2 linked regions of the Drosophila melanogaster genome follow. The protein of the gene in region 1 purifies or fractionates together with the protein of each later gene. This does not show direct contact. Each region holds a gene or a part of one and is shown in the gene's direction. Other genes may lie near its edges.

Evidence for each region. The genes of interacting proteins can lie anywhere in the genome.
Region 2: the proteins of RpL27 (region 1) and vig2 fractionate together in Drosophila melanogaster (co-fractionation; one study listed by BioGRID). This does not show direct contact.

Annotation. Positions count from the first base shown.
Region 1 is NT_033777.3:25,682,762-25,687,750, reverse strand, and holds RpL27 (ribosomal protein L27), read left to right. Parts: upstream 1-2,699; 5' UTR 2,700-2,792; intron 2,793-3,234; 5' UTR 3,235-3,248; coding exon 3,249-3,656; 3' UTR 3,657-4,128; downstream 4,129-4,989. Other genes in the region: CLS (cardiolipin synthase), read left to right, coding at 936-1,436, 1,768-1,983, 2,049-2,184, 2,251-2,366; Idh3g (isocitrate dehydrogenase (NAD(+)) 3 non-catalytic subunit gamma), read right to left, coding at 4,663-4,693.
Region 2 is NT_033777.3:25,121,103-25,126,863, forward strand, and holds vig2 (vig2), read left to right. Parts: upstream 1-2,270; 5' UTR 2,271-2,296; coding exon 2,297-2,377; exon of another isoform or gene 2,378-2,529; coding exon 2,530-3,013; intron 3,014-3,487; coding exon 3,488-4,254; 3' UTR 4,255-4,396; downstream 4,397-5,761. Other genes in the region: Mocs2B (molybdenum cofactor synthesis 2B), read right to left, coding at 4,550-4,672, 4,732-5,000, 5,065-5,340, 5,465-5,761.

The DNA of each region.
Region 1 (4,989 bases):
AATTAGGAATTCGTTTGGGGATCAGCTCTTCAGTTAGCTTGAATGCCAGTTCCGACCAAAAAAGCTCTGCATGTTCGTTTCTGATGTCGCTCTTATCTCTACCTGGTTTGTCCTTTAAAGATGATAATTTAAATTATAATACAAGAAATTTCGAAAAGACTTACCGTGCACCTAAGCTATTTTGACAAGCTATTCCAATCAAAACTTAAACAAGAAAAAGTTTCGTATTTTCCATTATTAAGAACTATCCAGCATAAACAGGATATGTTAACTATAAAGTTTTTCTCGTCCGAGAAACTCATATACAATAGAATATAGGGTCCTTTGTGTTTTATGTTGGCGATAAATCTCATTGACGCACAATTACTTTTGAATTATAAGTTTTTTATCTCTCATTCCTATGACCTCAGTATTGCATATAATTTTATAAACATTTGAATAAAAGAAACGTCATTTCATTTTGCAATCACAATTGAATAGTATACACTTTCTTATATAAGGTAAGCATTTCAAAAAAACCGCTCTATGTTGGTTTGGTAGTTTTGGTATATTTAGTTAGCATATTTTGGCACATTTTGTCTATTGCAATCGCTGAAATCGATAGTGCTGTCGCCGTATCAACAGTGTTATCGGAGACGGCTTGTGTAATAAAAACAAAAATTGAATTAAAAATTTCCGTAAATGCAGGGCAGTAACTTGTAATCGAATAAGAATTCAGATTTCGTACTGCACTCAGGTGCCATCAGTGAACAAGGATTTCCGACCAATGGTGCGTGTTTGAGCTGGTGATAACAGATGGCCAAGGGTCGGTGGTCGATCAATTTGGAACCAAGGTTACGAATCTCAATAAATTGAAACTGATTGGGCATTTTGTGTGATTACAGTGCTCGCGAAAGAGTCTGGACTTGAGACAGGGATCGAACGTCAATTAACCTATGCTGCCCGCCATCATTTTCCGGCAGGTGCAGCGCCCACTGCACCATGGAGCCGCCACATTGGAGCACGTTTTGGGAGTCGGCGGAAGCAGCTTCGTGAACTGCCTGAATCGCTATGCGGCCGCCACGGGATTCATTCGGATCTCGTTTCTGGACATTAAGCGGCGCAGGAACTACGAGTTAGCCAGACTTCGCCTCTATGCCGATGAGAAGAAGCAGTCGCTCCATTTGCGCACCTTGCAGGGACGCCATCTCCTGCAGGGTGTCATCGAAAGGAAGAACTTCCTGGTGGATGACATCCGGGAGGCCAGGCACAAAGTCCAGGAGCGGGTGCGCGAGAAGATCGACGAGATACGCGAAGAGCGAGAGAACATTATGACCATACCCAACATGCTGACCATCAGTCGTGCCGTCCTCTCACCCTACATCGGATATGTTATAGTCCAGGGCGATTTCACCCTGGGCATGAGCCTTCTAGCGTTCGCCGGCATCACAGATCTGGTGAGTTTCCCAGGACCACCATTTTCAACGGAATAGATCCTCTAGTATTTAAGAAATGCTGAAAACATGATGTGGTGTGATCTAATGCATTATTTATTGTCTTGTTTTCTGCCCGGTCTGTGTTTTGTTTTCCTCTACATTTATAGTACTTTTTAGAACCAAAATATCTATACATACTCTTGAATTTTTTACCCGAATTGCCCAGACGAAACCAAAAATAGTTCGTGTATCTAAATAACACACACACGTTTAATTCCTGTAAGATACTTAGATAAATTTGAAACATTGAAACTTTCTTGGTAATGACATTTGTTTTTTCCTGTTTCTTTAGTTGGATGGACAGATCGCACGACGGTGGCCTTCGCAGGCGAGCAAGTTCGGTTCCTTCCTGGACCCCATGGCTGATAAGTTGCTGATGGGCTCGCTGGTCATCTCGCTGTGCTACACGGACCTGCTGCCCATGTGGCTCATGGGCATCGTGGTGTTCCGGGATGTCTTTCTTCTAGGAGCTGGATTTGTTATACGCTACATAAGTCTGCCACCGCCGGTAAGTGAAGGATTTACCTACATTTTTGTGGCATTTGTTTATAATCATTTACCTTTCCTCGGCAGAAAACCTTTTCGCGCTACTTCGACGCCACCCATGTTACTGCCCAACTGGAGCCCACGCTGCTCAGCAAGATCAACACGGGCGTCCAGTTGGCCACCATTGGACTGAGCCTGGGAGCTCCCATTTGGAACTATTTGGGTGAGATACAGCAAACACTTTTATCACTACTGATGGATTAATCAATTCTGTATCATCCCATTCCAGATCACCCAGCTTTGCAGGGACTTTGGTATCTGACTGGCCTGACTACGGCTGCCACTGCCCTCAGCTACGTCATGAATCGGCATAATACCTTTAAGATTATCCAAAAAAAGACGTAGGGCCGGGCATTTCCGCTAAATATCTGAGTACTATGAAGGAGTAGTATCTCTCCTTAAGCAATGATTAGTATGTACCATGTTTTCTAAATGATTAACATATTAAATTTAAAAAAATCTATTTTGTTAATAAATTTTAAGTGTTTTTCCACAATTATATGATGTTATGAATTTACAAAGGGAAAATTTAAAATTGTGATAAAAAAAAATACTTGTGCCAGTGTGACCAGATAGTAGGAAACACAGCCATATGGTAGAGTGACCGCCTCAAAAATACCGGAAATGTTGCCACTAAGTATCGATAAAAAGACGACGTTTTGCCATCTCTAAAATCTCCCCTTCTTTTCTTTTCGCCCGTTTCCGGTGAGTGGTGTGTTCCGCGTGTAAATTTTGTTAAATTTTAGCCAAAATATAAATTTCTACGCTGCGGTAGGAATGCGAGTGGCGTGCAATGTACAGGCTATGCCCCCTCAAAATGGATAATGATTTTAAAAGGAGGAAAAATACGGTTTTAGTCCCGTAGAGCAGAAAAAAAAGATTCTATGGTGGCTCTGCCTCCCATCTCTTCTATGAAAAAAACAATATCTGGTTATAACTTACCACATGGTTTAGCCGACTATGACTTCTGAGTTGCATATGATTTGTGTATGCCAGTTTGAATATATTATGTGTGTTAACAGATAATAAGTGAATTCAAGACATCCGGCAAACTAATACTACAATACCAAGCACACAATGACCAAAAACGTGTTGCTTTAAAAACCTATTTTGGTTTACTTGCAGATGATGTTATAAACTCTGCCGCCAAATAGTTATTAAATAATGTTTTGAGATCTGACGATTTTACTAACGTTTTTCCCTTAATTTACAGAGCAAACCGCCAAGATGAGGAAAATCATGAAGCAGGGCAAGATCGTAATCGTCCTTAGCGGACGTTACGCCGGTCGCAAGGCCATCATCGTCAAGACCCACGACGATGGAACCCCGGAGAAGCCCTTCGGACACGCCCTCGTCGCCGGTATCGATCGCTACCCGCGCAAGGTGACCAAGAAGATGGGCAAGAACAAGCTGAAGAAGAAGTCCAAGGTCAAGCCCTTCCTGAAGAGCCTGAACTACAATCATCTGATGCCCACCCGCTACACGGCGCACGACATCAGCTTTGAGAAGCTGTCGCCCAAGGACCTGAAGGATCCCGTAAAGCGCAAGACGCACCGCTTCCAGACCCGCGTCAAGTTCGAGTCCGTCTACAAGGAGGGCAAGAACAAGTGGTTCTTCCAGAAGCTGCGTTTCTAAGCTGCCCATTCGCTACTTGTGGTTACTGGATTTGTCGCTCTTTTTTAAGGTTTAATAAACAAAGAAGTAATTCTGATAAAACTGACCGAAGTGGATCCTGTGCCTTCTTATTAAGTGTGCAAGTGGGACAAACGTGCCTATGGTGATGAAAGTATATAGAATACTTTGAGTAGGAAGTGTACAAGAGGTATTTGGACCCAAGTCATCAACAAATTTCAAAATATAAGGCAAAATATCAAATTCGCTTCTGGATCATTTTAAAATATAGTGCAAATTCCATAGCCTTAACCGCCCGAATCCAAAACATAATAGTTACAGTGTCTTTTTTACTTTTTCCTTTACTAATAAATATTCGAACAGAATAATACATTTTGTTTGAATCAACTTTTCAATATTACAAATCTTTTGGAAAATTTACAATTTAATATCGCTTTGATTGACTACTTGTGGAACTTGCTTGGCTTTTGAAGAGCTCAAAGTGTGTTATTCTTGTTGTTCATGAACTGTTGCCTTAGGGTATTTTGGAAATTAAGTAAAATAAAAGAAAATATACAGCTTTCAGTAGGGAGTTTAAAAGAAAGATTCAGAGTGCAAAAACATTGGATAGGGCCGGCAAGAAAATCTGTGGAATATAAGATAAAACTGGATTAGAATCTTATCAATCGAACCTGGGGATAAATGAAGCTAAAAAATATTTGGAGTTTGTATTACCTGAATTATCACACTTGGACATCGAATGAACACACAATGGACATTTAGCCGGGGTAACATATTTTGTTTGGGTTAAGCAGCGGAATAATTCAACCTCGATTTGATTATACCGATTTTTCTGGGCATCACATTAACGCTGAATGCATTGGCTTTGGGGTACAAGATGTCTCAAATTGGCTTAGTTGTGGGGTTAATAAAATTTTGACTTTTTTTTTTTTTGTATTAGACTTGGTTCGATTTGGTTTATCTTGCTGAATTTGTTAGCAGTTGGTTGAATTCGGTAGTGCGATAGTGCCTAAATTTGGCTAAAATAGTTTCCATGTGGCCTGCGGAGCGGTAAAGCGTTTTTGGATTTTCAGGGAGAGGAGAAAAAACAGAATAATTTTGTTCATTAGAGCTGCACAAGGACAATTTGGTTACACGTTCAAAACGAAAATACTACATACTTGTGTGTACTGAATGTGTGTGGTAGTGTGTTCTACTGGGGCACTACTTAGGACAAATATACAATAGAAAATAGTTCAACGAAGCAATTGCTAAACATAAGTCCAATTTATATAAACAAATTTTAAGTAGCCTCTTATAGGTGACAATCGAGCATGTGTCACCCAAGAAGAAGTAC
Region 2 (5,761 bases), 560 kb from region 1:
TTGATACAAATTTGATTTTTCTTTTGATTTCAGATATTGAGATGCTATAAAATTGAAGGAAAAAATGTTTTTTATATAGAATTTAAGCAGTAATAACAAAAAGTTAGTCTTACTCTATTAAGCTGATTTTCTATTGATCTACGAAATCAGTAAATACTAAATTTCTTAGACTACGGCATACAGTTCAAATTAGAAAAGTCGGTAAAAATTTAGGAATATGCGATTACATTTATAGGAATTATACAGTCCTGGCCTTTCATGACGTCTATTTCTTTCGGCAATACAATTATATGACTACATGCGCTAAAATTATGACCCAGCAAAAGAGGACTATGCCATAACTAGTGGAACTTATTGAAATACAATGTCAGCTCCTTAACTCGGTTATGAAAAGCATTGAACTTAATTGAAGCGTTATGTAGTCAAAAAGCAGGGTTTCTGTTGCCTTTGCTTGAATTTAGCATACTATGCGGGTAAAACAAAAATATAAATGTCGCATATTAAAAAGTTAATATTTTCTTTTTTAGATCAGCAAATAGATGCTTTTTAAAATTCATTCGATATGGTAAACTCGCATCTTGACTCCACTTTCATAAAAAGTTGAAATCGATAATGATGTTAAATTACTCATATATAGTAAATCAGCTTTGTATTTGTAATTAAATACACATTCTTTAAAAAGTACCTGTCCAAAGGGCATAATTCTTGCTGATGCCTGAGATTAGTCAACTGCTTTTTTTGCAGAACAAGCCCCTTTTTTTGCTGAGTAGAAGGTTTTATGTGAATGTATCCTTCTTTTACAGCCGGAAATCCAAGATCCATGCTACATTTCTACCAAGTGTATGAAATGTTTCACATCACTTGTTTCCATTTGTGATACGCTACCATATAAGGAACATACCTACTGAGGGTGCAAAAGTAACAGTTAGGCCAGACGTTATCTATGAGAAGGGGTAGAACCACCCCTGGAAAACTCGGATAAAAACCAAAAGTCGACATATGCATAAAAGCAATAGGAGCCGCATTGCCTGACCGAATATGATAATATTGTCGATTTCTGCGCGACACAGCTCCAAAAAAGGTAGAACAAAAAAGTCCGTAAATGACATCACGATATTTTTGGCAAGTTTTTAAAGCAAATTGGTTTTCTCACTTAAAAACTTTCAAAAACATGCCTGCCAAAGCCAGTTTTGCGCAGCTGAAGAGGTCAAGGTAAAATCCATTTAGAGAACAGTAAAATCCCCAAGCTCCAAAAAAAAAAAAAACAAACAAACGAAATTCACAAGAACTGCATATAGCAGGCGAAGATATTGATTTTTTTGTTTATGCATGTCCCGCGTTCACATGAGGAAATGGGGAAACCAACTGAAACACACACACTTAGACTTAGCCTTATGAATAACTTATGAATATTATCGAAATGGATATGTGTGGATTGTATCTTATTTGAGGACTCACCGGCGAAACGCAAACGCGGCCCTCTAACCACTTGCAAATACTTGGGGGCCCGTTGGACGTAAATGTGGATGGGGGCTATTGGGTGCTCGATATCCCTCTCCTCTTCGTCGCTTCCAATATTCCAATTCGATGACAGTCGCTGCTTCGCTCGTCTGCTCTCTCGCGGTTCGGTACGCAATGGCCACAATTCACGATGGACTCGCTTTCAATTACAAGGATAATTTGCCTTTACTTAAATTTATTACTTGCATCAGGCCGAAGAGGACAGAGAATTTCGATGGCAACGCATCAAAGAAACAAATGTCACATTTGTCTCTACGGGCCCAAAAGTTGTTCTCCTTCTGGCGATGGGCCGACTGCTAGAGCTGGTAGTGACCTCTACCTGCAATCGATTAATCGATTGAGTACATTTCGGTATTATTTATGAAATGGAAATTTAAATATAATGTGAAATTTTTTGATATAGAGTGAATTATTATAAATATGGAAATCAATAATTACCATTCACATTTTACGTTATTTCAAAACAATCGATAATTACCATTATTCTGTACAGTTGCTCGTTACTCACCATTTGGTATCTATCGGTTAAACATTTATAATAATATTTGGTTATATTAATAAAATTGCAACACCTTCAAAATAGTTTAAATTTGTTATACATTTTTAAGGTATAACTTTTCCTAAATTATTGTAAATATACATATATGGTTTATTTAAGGCTGTAAATTATCAAATCCCTTTTCAAAAACCAACCATTGTTCAGAAAATATAAATTATATATTTTAATTTTTACAGATATATACTGATATTGAACCGGCAACTATCGATTGTCGAAATGCAATTAGCGGAGAAACATATCGTGGCCCTTATGTTTCCTGCAATCGATGTTTCTACCTTCACTTTCGTTTCCGGCGTGGTGCGTAAGTTGCTCCGCGTTTTCGCAATTTTAAGCGATTATCACTTTGTTTGAACTCTAGGCCGGCCATGTGCCTATAAGTTAACAGCAAAGCATATCGTCGCCATTGGGACCAAAGTAACTCTCAAATCTGGTTCAATTTTAATCCGTAGAAATTTTACATCATGGACAATTCTGGAAATAACCGCTACGAGCTGTTGTTCATGGACGACGATGACTCCTCTGGGCTCGCACAGCCACAGATTGCCGCTGTAGTCGCGGCGCCCAAGAAGCCGGAACCGGCAAAGGCGCCAAAGGCACCAAAGAGCAAGTCGGAGAAGGAGAACAAGCCGGTTGTGGCTGCCCGCAAGGCCAACGCTCCGGTGGCTAAAAACGCTAGTCCAGTGAAAGGCGGCAAGGGTCCCGCTGGCGGGGATGTGGGTCGTCCCAAGAACCCAACAGCAAACGGTGCCAACAACCAGGGCAGGTTCAACAACAACCAACGCTACGGAAATAAGGAGTCGAACGGAGAATTCGGAAACGAGTTGCCGCAGCGTCAATTCAACAATCGTGACAACAGGGGACCACCACGCGTCCGTACCGGCGAGAAGTTCGGAAAGCGCGAGTTCGATCGCCAGTCGGGATCCGATAGAACTGGTAATTATGTCTAGATTCTTCTGTCCTTGGTTTTCGTGTTTGCTTCTCAAGTGAATCCGTTTTTTCTGCGTGGAAAATGCTGCCCTGTAATGGCGGCATGCTGCAAAATATAGAGAAAACGCAACCCTTGGCAACAAGATTGATTACATATCGCGTATTTCTCACGTGACTTTTAGGCATTTGTAATACGCAAAACGTTTGAAAACGTGTTTGTAAATATTAATTTTAAATGATGAAATAATGAAATTACTGCGTTGCAAACTCGTGTGTTCACACATGTGTTTTCTTGGACATTTTTTTGTTTGATTTTTTTGATTTTTGATCTTATAATTTATTAATTTATTAATTCGTTACCGAAAATATAAAATTCGTTTGGTTAAACTTTTAATTTGTCTTATACGGCAAACATTTTCCCGAAAATCCTCTTTACTCATATCGATTGAAGCCTATTAATAGCTGATTTATTCTCCACAGGCGTCAAGTCAATTGACAAGCGCGAAGGCGGTGGTGCCCACAACTGGGGCTCCCCGAAGCAGGACATTGAGGACTTAAAGACGACCGGGGAGACCTCACCGCAGGCGGAAAAGGAGGACTCGGCCAACGAACAGTCGGCTGATCCCGCGGTCGCCGCCGAAGAGGATGAGTCCAAGCAGATGACCCTTGACGAGTGGAAGGCTTTGAGAGACCAGCGTGCCAAGCCCAACTACAATTTGCGCAAAGCGGGCGAGGGAGCCGCCGACAATGCCGAGTGGAAGAAGATGATCGTGCTGAGCAAGAAGAAGGAGAGCAACAGCGAAGACGAGTTGGAGTATGATCCATCGCTGTATCCTCAGCGCGTGGGCCGCCTTCAGCGCATCGTGGACATCCAGTTCAACTTCAATGATGGACGCAAGGTCGGATTCCGCAAGGGACCTCGCCCCGGAGCCGGTCCTCGCGAGGGTGGCTTCCGCAATGACGGACCTCGCGGAGAAGGTGGCTATCGCAATGACGGACCTCGCGGAGAAGGTGGTTATCGCAACGACGGACCTCGCGGAGAGGGTCCACGCAATGAGGGACCGCGTGGAGAAGGCTACCGCAATGACGGACCGCGTGGAGAGGGATTCCGTGGTCCCCGCTTTAACAACGGACCCAGCAACGGCTATGAAAACAGACAAGACAACAACAGATTCGGAGAGAAACGCCGCTCCGCCCAGAAGCCACTGAAGGTTGACGATGAAGCTCAATTCCCCACTCTGTGCTAGGAGTTGAGAACAACAATAAGATTTAATAATTTCGCGTATTAAATAATTAGTAAGCTGGTCCTTCGGTTAACAAATAACCATTAGATTTTCGGGCGCGATCTATGAAGCTTGACGACCGATTAATAAACAGAAACAAATCAGCCACGCTTATCCATATTCCTTAGTTGTAAACAAAAATTTTTGCATTTTTCACTCTCATCATTTACGCATAAAAAAAACTATTACAAATAGTTGGAATGTTGAAATAAATTTACATCAATTACAAACCAAGGAATAATAATTAATTAGGTTTTTATTAGCTTAATTCGCTGCCATCCTTAATCTTTTGAATGAATGCACTTAATTCTTGCGCCGAATACGATTTCTTTCGGCTCTTCTTCGGCGGCGCGGCTTCCATAGATGACGGTTCACGTTTGGTCTGAGAATAGATTGAATTTTTTTAGAACTGCAATTACAGGAAATGTTTTAAGAACCTACGAAGTGTCTGTACTCGGGCGAAATGGACTCCAGTTGCAGCAGTCTATTTTCCACTCGTTTGATTCTACTGAAAATGTTTTCCTCGTTGTCGGTGGTTAGACCCATGTACGATTCAATTGCCTGTAGTCGTGAATTGGGTAGCGATTTCCTCATTTCTTTGGTTGGATCCGTTTGACCGTCACGCGATCCCATTAGTTTATTCAGTTCGAGTTCGTAGTTGGGTCGCATTTCCATTTGCTGAGGTCCGCATCGGTTGTTTACTCGTCGGACTGTGATAGGTTGTTTGTAGACCAAAGTGGCTATAGTTATGAAAATAGAGCATCGTTTACCCACCTTTTAAATGGCAATTTGACTGCTCCTGCTTAATAATTGTGCTCTGCGTTCGAGCGCAGGAATCGCTCAAGTTTTGGTCTGAGCTGACAAAAGACGATTTGAAGTCAATTACATTTTGTGAGTTTATTTCGTCTCGTTTTCTGTTGACAAAACATTCTAAACGCTTGGTTAACTCAGCGTCATTAACTCTAATTTGCACCAGAGTTCGCGGGACGTCATGTGACTCCTCAACTTTGCAGGGACAAGCGGCGTAGTTGAAGCCACTTTTCGATTTCTCTACAATGTACATGCACAGATGAGAGAGAAGCCAATAAAATCGTAAACGCTCGATTGTTAATTATATTTACAAGTGTACAAATAATAAGAATACATGTCATGCTGGCTACTCATAAGATCTTACTAGGCCTGATGGACTCCTTGTTCTCCTTCCATTCGCTGTCGTTATCGCCGTCGTAGATTTCCTTTTTCCAGATGGGAACCCGAGTTTTTAGCTGGTCTATTGCAAAAGATACTGATTCTAAGGCCTCAGAACGATGTGGTGACGAGGCGGCTATAACTACACTGGCTTCGCATACGGGCACTGTTCCCAATCGATGATATATGACTATGTGCTTCAGATCGAGCCACTTAGATCGGAGATCTGAGCATATTTTATTCATTTCCTTGAGTGCCATGCTATCGTAGGCCTCGTACGCCA